Caenorhabditis elegans: one gene and its partner. The protein of the gene in region 2 purifies or fractionates together with the protein of the main gene of each other region. This does not show direct contact. Each region holds a gene or a part of one and is shown on either strand. Other genes may lie near its edges. The genes, in order: mltn-1 and coa-4.

Region 1 (9,207 bases), on a different chromosome or scaffold from region 2:
ATTTATAGTGAAATGGCAATTTTTGGCAACTTGCCTATTTTTTAGTGAAATGGCAATTTTTGGCAAGTTGCCAAATTTTTAGTGAATTGCCAATATTTTGTAGATGGGCACTTTTTCAGTGAGAGACAGGGATGAGCGGCAATTGCCGTTCGGCAAATCGGCAAATTGCCGGTTTGCCGATTTGCCGAAAAATTTTATTTTTGGAAAATTGCCGATTTGCCGTTTGCCGGAAATGTTTAGAGAGATTTTTTTATCAGACGCGGAAACAATTAAAACTGCGGAAAAAATTCTGAATTTTTTTCCGTTTTTTCTAAATATTTTCATGGAATTTGCATACTTTTCAAAATAAATGTAGGCACATTCATAGGATGTGAAATTCTGAAATTTCCAAAAAAAAAGTGCAAACCCACAATTTGCCGGAAACTTTCGGCAAATTGCAGTTTTTCCGGCAAATTTGGCGAATCGGCAGTTTTGTCGGTTGGAAAAGCAGAACTATTCGGCAACTTTACCGTACTCTTAGTAATATGGCAATATTTTTTGGAGCTCAAAAAGTGTAAAAAATTATGCAAAAAAAACTAAGTTCACTGGTTTTCGCTCGATTTTTGCCTAATGCTGCAAGATAAATCTGTGCGGCAAATTTCAAAATTTGCCGAGGTCTGCAAATGGCAAATTTGGCTAACTTGCCGAACACTCCTTGCTTGAGAGGAGCACTTAATGTATCTTGATGTAATTTGTTAATTTGTTAGACGCTCAGAAAACTAATCTTTATCCACTCTCATACCAGTTTTCGAACAGCTTAAAAAATATTTTCTTTAGACTATCTTGTCTGGATTTGTTTTAGTGTAAGTCAAAATAAAAATTATTATATTTTTATTATTATTAAAAATAATCAATTATTAAATTGTACATGTAATAGTTGTAGATTGAGAAGTTAGATATATGACCCATAAATTCACAAGTGAAGTATATATATATATATATATATATATGTTATGAAAGCCAACTTGGAGAGGCAAACACGGTGACCATAGCTCCATCGGATCCCCACGCGGGGCTCAGAGCATATGGAGAAAGCACGACAGCAGTCACATACTGAGGAGAGAGGATTGTCGGGGACAAGACGAATGGGGACAGAACTAGGGGACTCAACGCCAGTGGGTTCAGAATAATTGGTCCGAGACAGAACGGAGTCAAGATCAGTGGAGTCAGTACTTGTGGGGAGAGAATGAATGGGGCGAAGATGAGCGGGGAAAGTACGAATGGATTCATGGATCCTGGGCACAGGATGAATGGGTTAAAGGCTAGAGGTGATAGAATGATCGGAACCAGCAGGAACGGATTCACAGCTACTGGTGATAGAAGACGCGGGGAAAGAATGACAGGTACCAATAGCCATGGGGAAAGGATCATTACTCCGTAGACAGCTGGAGAGAGGATCAGTGATGACAGCATGACAGGAGACAGGATTGCCGGTTGGGAGACAGCCTGCAATATGGGAGATTTTTTGTTGGAAAATTTTGAATAAATTTTCCAGATTTTCAAGTAAGAGCGTTCGATTTTTGAGAAAATTGAGACAGAGCCACTGATAATGGCAATATTACACTATTCAAAATTTTTCTATGAATAACAGTAATTTTGGTGCTCCAAAAAATATTTAAAAATCAAAATTTTCCGAGTTTGCGAAGAACGGCAAATTTGCCGAATTTGCCGAGTTTGCCGAGCTCTGCAAATTTTCAGATAGCCCTGATCGGCACATTACGAAACTAAGATAGTCTTCGAGCAATTTTTCAAAACTTTCACTGAAAAGTAAAATTCTTTTCAGAATATACAAACATGTTTCTATATATTAAACAAAATTCGTTCCATCTGAAAATAACATTTATATTTGTTGAAAAATCTCTTAAAAAGCCTCAAGTTGTGCCAGAAAGTTGCCGTTTGCTGAAAAAAATGCCGTTAAAAGTATTTCGGCAAACGATAACTTCCAGGGACTATTTGAAAATTTTTTCAAACTTTTCAACAAACATAAATATTATTTTCAGATAGAACAAACATTTTTCTACACTTCTATACCTATTTTAGATTTAAAAAATTGGATTATCATATTGAAAATATTGAAGCCGTTTTGTATGTTTGCTGCACAGTCAGCAATTGTCGACCGGCACAGCAATTGTCGACCGGCAATTCTACAAAATGAGACGGTTGGCCAGGCTCCCCATAAATTTTTCATTGAAATTTAATGATAGAATATAAAAAATATTTGCTTCATTTAAAAATTACTGTTAGTTTAGTAGAAAGATCTTCAAAAATAGTCTGAATGTTGAAAATTTCCGGTGAAAATTGCCGAAAAATTGACGGCAATTTTCCACATTCAGACTATTTTTGAACACTTTCTCGCTATTTAAAAGTCTAGTGAAAATTATTTTCAAGTAAAGCAAATATTTTTTATATTGTATCTTTAATGAAAAAAAAATAAAAAATTTAATGAAAAATATTGTTGGAACATGCCCAACCGTCTAATTTTGTAGAACTGCCGGTCTGCAATTGTCATGCACCCCTGCGCACAGGCCAGTTAACTCACCACTGGATCCAAAATGAAGTTACTAAATGTGATCGGTGATAAAATAATATCATTTCTCTTTGCCTCAAATTTGACTTTCTCATGTGCCAAGTCCTTGATTGTTCCCATAATAGCTCTATCGATTTGTGGTCTGCTCATTGATTTTGCCAATTTCAAGAACTTCTCATTTTCCCCCACTGATCCCTTCCCGTAGATCAAATCCATCTGATCATGTCTCATAATAGTATAGCCTGTTCTGTTCATCTCCTTGAGCTGCTCATCGGTATAAGTTTTATCCAAAGACTCGAACATTTCGATTTTCCTCGCCTCATGCGGATATTTTTCTGTTACATTTTCTTTTGTGAAGTACAACGGTTGACCTTCAGGCCCTCTTCCCATCGCATCGTCTTTGAGTCTTCGATACTCTCCGATTTTTCTTTCAACCCGTTCCATCGCTTCATTGACACCAGTTGCTTCCACAATAAAATCCAAGAAATCCTGAGAGTCTTTGTTATCGGTGAGAGATCCTAGGATGTTTCCGAGTGATGCTTTCTTTTCTACTCCAGAGCCATCCTCGTGTAGAGCAAATAGTGAAGGAGAGAGGAGATCAATCTGTAAATTTCGAACATTGTGTCCGGCAAATATGCCGAATTTGCCAAACTGACCGAGCTCGGCAAATTTCGTGATTTGCCGCCCCTGGAATCGGCAACTTCGGAAATTTCCGGTTTTGGAAACTCTCGGCAATTGTCGGTTTTAGAAATTTTCGGCAATCCGCAATTTTGGAAATTGTCGGTTTTGGAAATTTCCCGGCAATCGGCAATTTCGGAAATTGCCGGTTTTGAAAATTTCCGGCAATCGGCAATTTCAGAAACTGCCGGTTTTGGGCATTTTTTTCGAGATTTGCTGGTTTTGGAAATTTTTGTTTTCTATCGAGATTTGCTTGTTTTCGAAATTTCCTGCAATCGGCAATTTTGGAAATTGCCGGTTTTGGAATTTTTCGGCAATCGACAATTTCGGCAATAGCCGGTTTTGAAAATTTTTGGCAATTGCCCGTTGCCGAAATTGTTATGGTTCGGCAAACTTGAAAATTGCCGGTTTTGGAATTTTTCGGCAAGCGGCAATTTTGGCCACTACCGGTCGCCAAAATTGATTTGGCCGACCGAAACTTTTGAAATTCGGCTAGTCCGAAAATTGCCGGGTGCCGAAATCGTTAGGGTTCGGCAACTTCGGCAAATTTGCCAAATTTGCCGCACACGCCTGTCCCTTACCTCATTATTCTTTGCAGCTTCTTCTTGTGGAATCACACTCATAAGACGTGGACTGATAATTCTGACAATTTTCCGATCGAAATCTGTTGTATTGTGACCCGACATTTCCAATCCCATCTTGGCGGCTGTTTTTTATTTATTATAATTAGAAGGTTTCGTTTTGTAAAAATATATCTTTTGGCCAAATTAAAAATTTTCACATTACTAACCATCTCTCATCATTTTCATCGGAATCATCATCAACTTTTCCTGTTCCGTCATTTTATTCTTCCTATTCCTCAACACCTCCTTAATCTGATCATTGTCTATAAATTGCTCCAAATCGTTGAACTCCTTTAAACTATCATCCTTCGCAATCTTCTTATTCTGCTTCATCTTTTCAGCTGCATCTGCATAAATCGACATTCTCTTTTGCATAAAATCCTCCATTTTCTTTTGCTCTTTGATTTCTTCGGCTTTCTTGGTGATTCGTTCGATAGTATCTTGCCACTTTGACACCTTGTCCGTCTTTTTGAGAAGTTTCACAGCGCTAGAGAGATGTCTCGTTACCAGGCCGAATGGTGTCCTAGAACAGATTACGGTTTATACATATTTTATGGCAGCAAACAAATTGTTTAAATCGGCAAATCGGCAAATTGTCGGAATTGAAAACTTCCGGCAAATTGGCAAATTAAAAAATTGCCGGAATTGAAAACTTCCGAAAAACCGGCAAACCGGCAAATTGTCGATTCGCCGAGTTTGTCGGACAATGGCAATTGCCGAAAACTGTCGACAAATAGTGGATTGTGGTTTTGTACTTTTTTGGAAATTTCAGAATTTCAAATTTTGTCGACAAAATGGTACGCATTCGATGAATGTTCCTACATCTGTTTTGAAAAAAATAAGCAAATTCTATAAAAATATCTAAAGAAAACGGGAAAAATTTCAAAAAGGCACAATTTTAAGTGTTTCCGTCTTATAAAAATTATCTTTAAAAACGTCTGGCAATTTGGCAAACCGGCAAACCGGCGATTCGGCAAATCGATAAATTGCCGGAATTGAGAATTTCTGACAAATCAGCAAATAGCCGAAAATCAAAATTTCCGACAAATCGGCAATTTGCCGAAAATCAAAATTTCCGGAAAATCAGCAACCCGGAAATTTGCCGAAAATTAAAATTTCCTGCAAATTGGCAAATCGGTAATTTGCCGAAAATGAAAGTTTCCGGAAAATCGATAATTCGCCGAAAACCGGCAATCCGATTTGCCAATTTTTTTTGTCAATAAACAATTTTTGCCGCCAACACTCAACCACTTACATTTCTTTTTCGGCTTTTAAAGTATAGCTATCTCTGGTGTGCACTCTAATTTCTCGTTTTGCCCGAAACTTGAATGACCCAATCCATTCTTTATCTTCCCGAATCTCTTTTTCAGTTATTGGAGTCATTGTAGTGTTGGTAACCATCTTATCGATTCGGCGACGCATCTCTGGAATATGTTCAGTACAGTGGGGATCAGGGCTGAACGGCTAGCTGATTTTTTTTTTTGGCTGTCAGCTCGTACAGCAAGCCGACTAATTGGGCAAAATTTGGGCAAAATTGGGAAAATTTCTTCAGAAATTCTCAAGTCAACTAGAAATGTTTACCTTTTAAACTACGTAAAATTAAAATGCTCACTTCTGCTGAAGAGCTTTCTCCTATGAACCAATCGATTTCTATGTGCGTCGTCTTCTAGCTTGAGCAAGCAACTTGCGTGCTCCGAAAGAGTTTCAGCCTCGGATGAGCATTTCTCATGGCTCTTTTTTTGGTAGTCTTCAACAAGGGCTAGTCTGAAATATTAATATATTTAACAAATTTAACAAATTGCTCGTGGCATTAAATGCGTATTTTCTTAAATGTTAAGTAACGAAATTTGAGAAATTGCCATTTTTAGATCTAACATGGTCCAAAACTACCAAATTTTGTAATGAGACGTTCTGAAAATTTATTTTTTAAAAAGTTATGGCCGCTCAAAGTTTAGGCAAAAATGGTCAATTTCTAGCTAAAATCTCAAATTTCGGCAACTTTTCAGAGTGCGCGGCAATTGCCAGCCGGCAATTCTACAAAATGAGATGGTTGGACATGTTCCCACAATATTTTTCATTAAATTTTCATGATATAATATAGACAAATATTTACTTTATTTGAAGATAACTTTTATTTGACTTGGAACAACCGAGAAAGTGTTCAAAAATTGTCCGAATATTGAAAATTACCGGTGAAAATTGCCGCCACTTTTTCGGCAATTTTAACCGGCAATTGTCAACATTCAGACTATTTTTGGAGATTTTTCTACTAAAATAACAGTTATTTTCAAATAAAGCAAATATTTTTCTATATTGTATCATTAAATTTTAATGAAAAATTTATGGGGAACATGCCCAACTGTCTCATTTTGTAGAATTGCCGGTCGAAAATTGCCGCGAAAAGTTGCCAAAATTTGAGATTTTAGCTAAAAAAAAAGATCATTTTTTCCAAAACTTTGAGCGGCCATAACTTTTTTTTGAAAAATTTTCAGAACGTCTCATCACAAAATTCGGTAGCTTTAGACCATTTTAGGTCTAAAATAACAAAGTCTGATCTCACCTTCTTGTAGCAATCGCTGCGACAACTCCGGAAAATCCTTGAACCGCCCAATGCTCCAAGAGCTCTTCTCCAGACTCTGTCGACATGGGAACATTGAAAACTTTGTCTTTATAATGTGGAGATTTCAAGATTTCTTTTTGCGTCAACCCATATTTTGTCACATCTACTTCCGATTTAACTTTTAAGCAGGTGCATGGATACGGTAGAAGTGTTAGAAATAAAATAATAGGGAATAGGATCATAATGTGGTAAACCAGAGACCAGAGAAAAGGGATTCCCTGTGATTTTATGGATTTCTGGATGTAAAGAGGGCGGAGTTTTCGGATTCATCCCGAAAGTTTTTCCAAAACGTGGTTATCACTTGCTGGGCGGTGCCTTCCCGTGACGAGGAGAGAAGATGTTCTCAAAGGATGGGAGATGATCCCGTTGAACCAAGATCTATAGCATAACAGGTGGCCACATTTTGATCCTGATTTTCACGATTTTGATGATAAAGATTGAAGTGTGTATGTGTGTGTTCATATCACGTGGAATGCGCATTGTTTCAATGATGCTAGTTTGAAGGGGGGGGGGGCGGTCAAAAAGGATTCAAGTTTTGGTTTTTATCTTTGAAAATGCGAAAAACTATTTGTTCCCTGTATGTGTGTTTGACAACTTCTCAGGTTCTTCGGATTTGGAAGGATTAGAAGTTTTATACGGTAATTCAGTTTTCTCGAGTGATATCCAATAGGATCCCTATATTTGATTACGATTTATGCACACAGTGTACCGGTAAACTAGGCTGGGCGGCAAACTACAAACGATTTTTTCCGGCAAATCGGCAAATCGGCAAATTGCAGAAATTTAGCATTTTGACAAATCGGCAACTTGCCGGAATTTAAATTTTGGGCAAACCTGCAAATCGGCAAATTGCCGGAATTAAAAATTTTTTGGCAAATCGTCGGAATTGAAACTTCCGGCAAATCGGCAAACCGGTAAATCGTTGGAATTGAAATTTTTGTTGGCAATCCGGTAATTTGCCGATTTGCCGAATTTGCCGGAAAAACGGAGATTTTCGAAAATTTTCGCCGAATTGTGGTTTTTCAATTTTTTTAAGCTTTAGAATTTCAATTTTAATCGGCAAAAATGTACGCATTCTATGAATGTTCCAGCATCTTTTTCGAAAATAAGCAAATTCTATGAAAATATTTAGAAAAAACGGGAAAAAATTTCAAAAAGGCACAGTTTCAAGTGTTTCTGTCTTCTAAAAACTCCCTCTAAAAATTTCCGGCAAATTGATGTTTGGCAAACGGCAAACCGGCAAATCGGTAAATTTCCGGCAATTCGGAAAATCGGCAAACTGCCGAAAATGAAAATTTCCGGAAAATCGACAAACCGGAAACTTGCCGAAAATTAAAATTTCCGGCAAATTGGCAAATCGGTAATTTGCCGAAAATGAAAGTTTCCGGCAAATCGATAATTAGCCGAAAATGAACGTTTCCGGCAAATCAGCAAGTTGCAGAAAATCAAAATTTCCGGCAAATCGGCAAATTGCAGGAATTGAGAATATCCGATAAATCGGCAAATCGACAAATTGCCAAAAATAAAAGTTTCCGGCAAATCGGCAATTTGCCAATTTGCCGAATTTGTCGACAAAAAATTTGCCGAACGGCAATTGAACAATCAATGACTTACATTTCTTTTTCGGCTTTTAAAGTATAGCTGTCTCTTGTGTGCACTTTAATTTCTCATGAATGTTCCTACATCTATTTTGAAAAGTAAGCAAATTCTATGAAAATATCTACAGAAAACGGAAAAAAAAATTCAAAATGCACAGTCTTAAGTGTTTCCGTCCTTTAAAAAATCCGCCTAAAACCTTCCGCCAAATTTTGAGCCGGCAACGGCAAATCGGCAAATCGCCGAAAATGAAAACTTCCGGCAAATCGGCAAACCGAAAATTTGCCGATTTGCCGAATTTGCCGGAAAATAAATTTGCCGAAAATTTAACAAATATATTTTTTACAAAAGAAAAAAGTTTGATTTCTTATCTTCGGAATTTAACATTTTTCAATATTTTTTTCATCTTAAAAAATTGTGAAATCTTCAATTGTCTTTGATTTTTGTAGCTCATTTCGTAGTAAAAAAATCGTGTTTATTTTTAAAATCAAATTTTAAATTAGTACGGCTTTATTATATTTAAAAAAAAATGCGAGAATAAAACGATTGATTTGAACTTATTTTCGACTCCCAAAAATTTTGTGTACTGTTAATTTATCAAAATTTCTCATTTCAGAGAATAAATTTCTATTTACCATTTTTGAAACAATGTTCTTTAAAATTATAAAAATTTATTGTAAATTCTAGAAAATTTCAGATTTTTTAGAAAGTTCTAGAATTTAGAAAATTTGAGTTTCCCACCATGCCTTTTTCTCCGACTGGAATAAATAAATAGGGCAGACTTTCGGAAAAGATGGAGTATGTTTTATACGGTAATTCAGTTTTTTCGAATCCCGGCCAATTAGACAAGTTTCCTGGGTCGATCTAATTTAGATAAATTTTCCAAGATGCTTCACTTATCTCTACATTTTTTTAATAAATATTATACTGATATTTTCAAAATCATCCGAGATACAACACAGGGGTGGGAAAACGATTTTTCCGGCAAATTGGCAAATTGCCCGTATCGAAATTTTCGGCAAATCAGCAATCTGCCGGAATTGAAAATTTCCGACAAATCGTGAAACCGGCAAAATGCCGAAAATTTTCAATAAATCCTCTAAACATTTCCGGTAAATCTGATA
Region 2 (6,405 bases):
TCTCATACCACGATGAAGGATTCGGAAAGTCTCCTCAAGAATGTTTATGATTCACATGTTCCCTACTATAATATCATACGCAATTGGTTCCAAAGCTTCGAGAAGGACGACTTTTCTCTCGAAGACTCTGAGACCCCATAAATTGGATTTGGACACGTTGCAGAAAGCCATGGCAACGGATCCTTTCCAAATCACCCGTGAGCTGTCAACCACACTTGGGTCCCGTCAAACCAACATTGTACGAGGCTGGGAACCTCTTGGAATAAAGAAACTTATGGGTCAATTCATACCTCACACCTTGACACAGGCGAATCTTGATTTTTTAGTGGGTGATTCCTTTTCCCTCCTCATTTTCCACGGGGCCGATCGATGGTTGGGCCGACTCATTACTGGTAACGAGAAGTGGGTCCTCTACGATAACAACCACAAGCGTGCTCAGTGGATTGGAGAATGAGAGACACCACAGGATGCCGCCAAACCCGACCTTCACCCCAAAAAAGGCATGCTCTCAGTGTGGAGGGGAGTGTAGGGCCCTTTCTACTGGGAACTGCTGCCTGAGGGCAAAATGATTAGTGGGGACATCTACGTTATCTAACCATGGAACATGAAGGAAGTCATCGATGGTTCACCCCTGATGGACAAGCAATTCTGTTTTCAGCAAAACAACGCTAGTTCCCACCTCTCGAAACAGGAAAAGTAGGAACATACCAGCCATGGATGGATGGTTCTCCTTCACGCACCGTATTCTCCAGACCTCACTCCATCTGAATACTAGTCGTTTTCAAATATGACCCGTGTCCACGAGCGGAGAATCTTCAATACCCAAAAAAGTGCCAATGTAGCACTCAAGCATTATTTCGACTCGCGCCCGGAAGGGTACTGTTAGCAGGGCATTAATAAGTTGCCCACACGTAGACAGTATATTGTTGATAATGATAGCGAATAAAATGTATCCTATCGTTTCTCTTGCTTCGAGAAATAAACGATTGAAAAAGTTATAAAGACTTCCGGACCAACCTAATACTTCACCGTTTAAAAAACTTGGAAAATGTGAAACATAAATTTTTTTGACATATCTGGTGAAACAACTATATTCAAGAGAACAGGAAAAATTAGCAGAACAGCAAAGCTGAAGGATGGAGCTGTACTGAGTCGTTTTACGGGGGCTCGAATCTTCGCCTCTCGCGCGGAAAGTTGAATGCAAAGAAGGCAGAAGATAAAGCGGTTCTATCACGACCGTATGGAATATCTAGTTTATTTTAATCAAATAAACTACTGAAAATTTTCTCCCAACAGTACAAAAACCTTAGATTTTCAGTATAAGAAGTTTTTTGAAAATAAATTTAACTTTTACATCTTGTTTTTTTTCAAAAAAATATTAAAAAAAGAACGGTAAAATTTGAAAAAGTGACGTTTAAAGAAAAAGTGAGAAGCTGACTCAAAAAAAGGGCAGGGCGTCGTCAAGATTCTCGACCGTGTGCATACACACCGAATCGTGGCAAAAATTATATGATCGTGTCGTCGCAGCACATTTGATATCACCTTGGCATATCAGTATAGGTTATCAAATCGAATTACGTGGACATTGAATGCTTTTTAACTGGATGATTATTGAGGAGACACACCTCGTAAAAAGGAAAACTGTTAAAATGGTTTGGGGAGAGTGTATGTCACTCCCAATTCTTGTTATGCAAGTTTGCAGTAATGAACTTTTTGAAAATTGCAAATTTTCAGATACGGAAGCCAACAAAATACAAGTAACAATTAAACGATAAGAGAAAAAATGAAACAATGAACAACCTAACAAAATAGCCTAGAAAATTAAAATGACAAAAATGGAAAACGATGAAAGAAGTCTTCAATTGTGGCTGGTTGATCTGAAACTGGAATTAATTTGTTTTTGGAGCGACTTTCATGAGCACGAAATTCTGAATTTGGAGTGGATTCGACTGTTGTGGTGTCTTTGTGAGAGTTGATAGAAGAGTGAATTGATTCGATCTGAAATTGAAGATAACGAAATTATTCATAATTTGGGAACTATGGCAATGCATTTCTATCTAAATATAATTTCTAGGTTTTTTTAAAATAAAATCAACTCTATATTTAGAGAAGTCATACTAACATACTTTAAATATAGAAAAATGTATTCACAAAAGTTCAGAATTGATTGCTAATGAATGTCTAGATCACTTTGAGGTTTTGGGAATAATATTCACTATTTTATATGGTACAATTTATAAAATGTTTTTAAATTACATTTGATAACTCACAATATTACTTTCCAATTCTCCTTCCAACTCATTTAATTCTTTTGTTATTTTCTCCAATCTCTTCTTCAATTTCTCCTGAATAAATCCTTTGGAATGATCGATTTCATACTTCAAAACTTTCTTCATTTTCAATTTCAGCCCAAACATTTCCAACTTCGTGAAATATTTTGAGCCGATTTCAAAAAGCTGCCAATTTTCGAATGATCCACACAATTGACAAAGAAGTGCCATCTAGAAAACTCGGAGTTGTATTATGTTTGCATTCGATAAAATACCGTGTTTTTGAATTCTTTCTGATAGTTTGATGTGAAAGGTAACTTTGAGAGAAGAAAAGCTTTTGTTCGTAGAAACTGAATTTGATCACCAAAATCGACCAAAATGGATTCGTAGTAGGAAAGAAATTGTAGAGAAATTGAAGTTTCAGGTGAAGACAGCTGAAAAAAAATCATATAAAATTTATAGTTTCATATACTAAAAATAAAATTACCTCCGATGTTTTTTTGATGGAACATTGGAGAAGAGAATCGATTAGCATTATTTCATGTGTACGATTGTTTTTCGTGCTTTCACGGAGCCCGGTGAGAATCTAAAATTGAAACTTTTGAAGTTAGAATATGATTTACAAGTAAAAAGACAAAACACCAATAAAACGTCACAAAAAATTTGGAACGCTTCACGAATTTGCGTGTCATCCGTGCGCAGGGGCCATGCTAATCTTCTCTGTATTGTTCCAATTCTAGAACATATACTAAAATTGGAACAATACAGAGAAGATTAGCATGGCCCCTGCGCACGGATGACACGCAAATTCGTGAAGCGTTCCAAATTTTTAGATCTTTTCAGTGGCGTTTTGTGTTTTGTACTTTTAAATTTAAAAAGAATTTCAGGTTGTTCTATGTTTATTTTTGTAACAAACAATTTCGTAATTTTTTACTTCTGAAAAGTTAACTCACCACGACAAATTTTTGTTAAATCCGAAAAGGCGTGCGCTTTTGAATAGTACTGTAATTTCAAGCTTTTGTTTGGAGAAATTTTTATAGATTTTTCGTAGTTTTTTGATGAAAAATATAGTTTTCTTATTGAAGTTGAAATATATAACAATAAAAACCTTGAATTTAAAATCTAGAGAGAAACAATGAAAAATCGATGAAAATTCCGCAGCAGCGAAATTCTGAAATTAAAGTACTTTAAATGCGTACGCATTTAACAAAAAATTGTCGTGTCAACACCGGGCTCATAACTTCCAGCCAAATTTCGGATTAAAACCAAAAATTTAAAAATGAATGATTCTTACATTTTCAGCGCATTCGAAATCCCCATTATGATAACAATCAGCCACTCGGAACAAGTCAATTTCACTGAAATTACGAGTTTTATGTGAATAAAAATTAATCCAACTTACGTTATTGCAGTCGCTGTTTGATTTTCTTTTAAAGCATTACGATACCAATATTTTTCATGGAAATTCGGTTTGAAAGGTAGATAAGTTGGTTTTTCTTGATGTTTACAATTATTTTCGTCATCGGAAGGGTCAAAATCATTGAGAAAATCCATTATTCTTTGTTTCTGATTCTTCTTTTGGTGGCTCACCGACTTGAACGCTTTGAACACAGGTTCTGAATTCTTTTACCTAAAGTATATTTTTTTTAATAATAAAAAGAAAAAAGAAGAAAACAAACCACGTCTTGACACTTTCTCCAATCTCTATGTTCTCCCATACAATCCGAGACTTTTAGATGAAGATCCCAGCACCCAGACTTCCTGAAAATAATATTTTTGTTTTAAATTTCAAAAAAATTGCATCATATTTCATACTTTATGAGTGACTCGACACGGTCTTCCTGATCGGCGTTTCCAGTCCAAATATGAGGAGATTTTGGTGCTTCCTTAGTAGCAGTTGGAGCAGCAGTTGACATTACCCTGTGACAATTTTCTGTTCTTTGGTATTTTATTGAAAAATAAAAAGAAGCAACGTTTTCGAGAAAAGACAGACAAAGCGTAGGATGAGAGATTTGGAGTTTAGAAAGAGACGCAGGCATTGAGAGAACCCTGCAGTGTACATCGCTCGGGGTGCCGATTTTCCGAGTGAAGTACACAAGAGTAGTTAAAATTGAAACAACTCGGTTTTTTTTTCAATTTTCAATTTTGATTATACTTCGGCGTTATCTCTTTTTCTTTCTCTTTTCGATAATCGGTGAAATTTTCGCACGCAACCTTGGCTGCGACGGTGAAAAATTGCCGCAGAACTATTCCGCTAGTTAGGAACATTTTTTGATAATCTTAACAAGCGACTTTGCTGTCCACCACGTGTTTTACACGTTATTTTATTTTTGAACTTGTAAAAAGCTTTTTTAATATAGTTTTAATATGAAAACTAGCAAATCGGAGAGCCGCGCCAGCCCTTCGGTAATGGGGATGCCCGAAAAGGTAGCTTGCGCAGGTTCTCGGCTTTGCCTCAAACCTGAGATGGGGATATTCGAGATTTCCTTGAAATTTGGGATCGATTGATTAAAGAACGAAGCTTCTGCGATGGTTTTGAGCTGAGATATGAGCGATTTAAGTTTGAGGAAATCTGGTTAGTTGGCTTGAGCGAATAACAATCTGCTTGGAATAGGATTACAAGAGGAAAAAAGGCTGAAAATAAGAAAGACAAACGAAATTTCGAAAGAAAAACATGAAACCTCTTCTCTGAAAAACGAAACAGAACAATCGAAAAAAATTTTGTACAATCTTGTTGTCCGAGAGGAGTTCGTGTAGAAGAATATCGGCCACGGCCACCGTCGAAAAATTTGGATATTTAATTTATTTCTAGCCCGAATTAAAGCTTATTCTAAACTTTTGGAGCTGTTTTTTGATGTATTTAAAGAACAAAATGTGTATTTTATTGAAAACTGATCTGTATATAGGTTTAATTTGATGAAACTTGTCTTTTCTGCCCGCGAAATGGTGTGGCCTAGAAAATTCTAAAGAATATTTTCTTAATTTTATCTTTTGTCAACAAGAAGCTTGTCTCATGCTCAAAAAATCGTTCTTTTTCGAACTTTGACTGGTTATTAAAAATTAAACTTTTTCAGGTAATAAAAGCTCGAATTCCGCGCAAAAATCACGCTGGAGAGCAGTCGGAAGTCGGCGGACCCGGCGACCACTGTCGCTCATCGAAACCATTTGGATTTCTTGGCGGGATGGGGAGCCGGATGCATCGAAACATGCATTTTGTATCCATCAAATAAAATCATCTTTCGACAGCAACTTCATGGATTCCACGTGAAAGATGCAATTCAACAAATCAAATTGGAAGGCGTTGGAAAGTTGTACAGAGGACTATTACCTCCTCTAATAATGCGAACGACGAGTAGAGCATTAATGTACGGATTATATGATGAATTTCAGGTAATTTTACATGAAATATTTATATTAACAAGGATAAATAATTTAGATCTCCTTAAAATGTCCACGTTCACCTCCGAACTCTTCGTTTTCAATTTGTCACGCTCAAGCTGCATTTCTGTGTAAGTGATCAGTTAACCATTAATTTCTTTAAAATTAATATTTTTCAGCAGGAGTATGCGAAGCAATGCTCTGCCCGCTGGAACGGGTTCAAGTACTTCTTCAAACAACAATATTTCATGACAAATTTAAGAACACATTACACACTTTCAATCGTCTCCGCGACTATGGTTATCGGGAATATTATCGAGGATTTTCTGTTATTCTCATCCGAAATAGTCTTTCAAATACAATTTTCTTCACTCTTCGAGATCCGTTGAAACAAAAAGTGAGCTTATTTTCTAGGGATATTATAATTTACGATTTGCTTGTAGCATTTTAAAAAATACTTTCCTATAATATCTGTGTTTCAGATAGTCGGAATCCCACAAGCTGGACGTCTTCCTGAATCACTTCAGCAACTAATTGGTGATTTCGTAGCTGGATCTCTATTGGGAGCAACCATTTCTACAGCATTTTTCCCATTAGGTGTTATCAAGAATCATATGCAAGCGAAGGTAATTTGTTAACTATCAAAAATTATTAAAATACTTACTGATCTAAACTATATTTCGGATATCTTAACTCCGAAATATATTTTTTTTAATCCAAAAGTATCGTAAATCATTCAATTTTTCCAGGTTGGTGT

The links.
Region 1: the proteins of coa-4 (region 2) and mltn-1 fractionate together in Caenorhabditis elegans (co-fractionation; one large-scale study listed by BioGRID). This does not show direct contact.

What each region holds. Positions count from the first base shown.
Region 1 is NC_003280.10:13,138,489-13,147,695, forward strand, and holds mltn-1 (MLt-TeN (mlt-10) related), read right to left. Parts: upstream 6,738-9,207; 5' UTR 6,670-6,737; coding exon 6,428-6,669; intron 5,632-6,427; coding exon 5,480-5,631; intron 5,292-5,479; coding exon 5,123-5,291; intron 4,391-5,122; coding exon 4,035-4,390; intron 3,951-4,034; coding exon 3,826-3,950; intron 3,170-3,825; coding exon 2,579-3,169; intron 1,486-2,578; coding exon 991-1,485; 3' UTR 856-990; downstream 1-855.
Region 2 is NC_003282.8:9,331,702-9,338,106, forward strand, and holds coa-4 (Cytochrome Oxidase Assembly subunits), read right to left. Parts: upstream 3,902-6,405; 5' UTR 3,901-3,901; coding exon of another isoform or gene 3,825-3,900; coding exon 3,673-3,824; intron 3,629-3,672; coding exon 3,565-3,628; intron 3,102-3,564; exon of another isoform or gene 2,928-3,101; intron 2,857-2,927; coding exon 2,758-2,856; intron 2,705-2,757; coding exon 2,546-2,704; intron 2,502-2,545; coding exon 2,271-2,501; intron 1,999-2,270; coding exon 1,822-1,998; 3' UTR 1,596-1,821; downstream 1-1,595. Other genes in the region: T20D3.14 (CHCH domain-containing protein), read right to left, coding at 3,808-3,900, 3,950-4,031, 4,086-4,186; slc-25A51 (Solute carrier family 25 member 51), read left to right, coding at 5,610-5,660, 5,707-5,779, 5,828-6,045, 6,131-6,274, 6,398-6,405.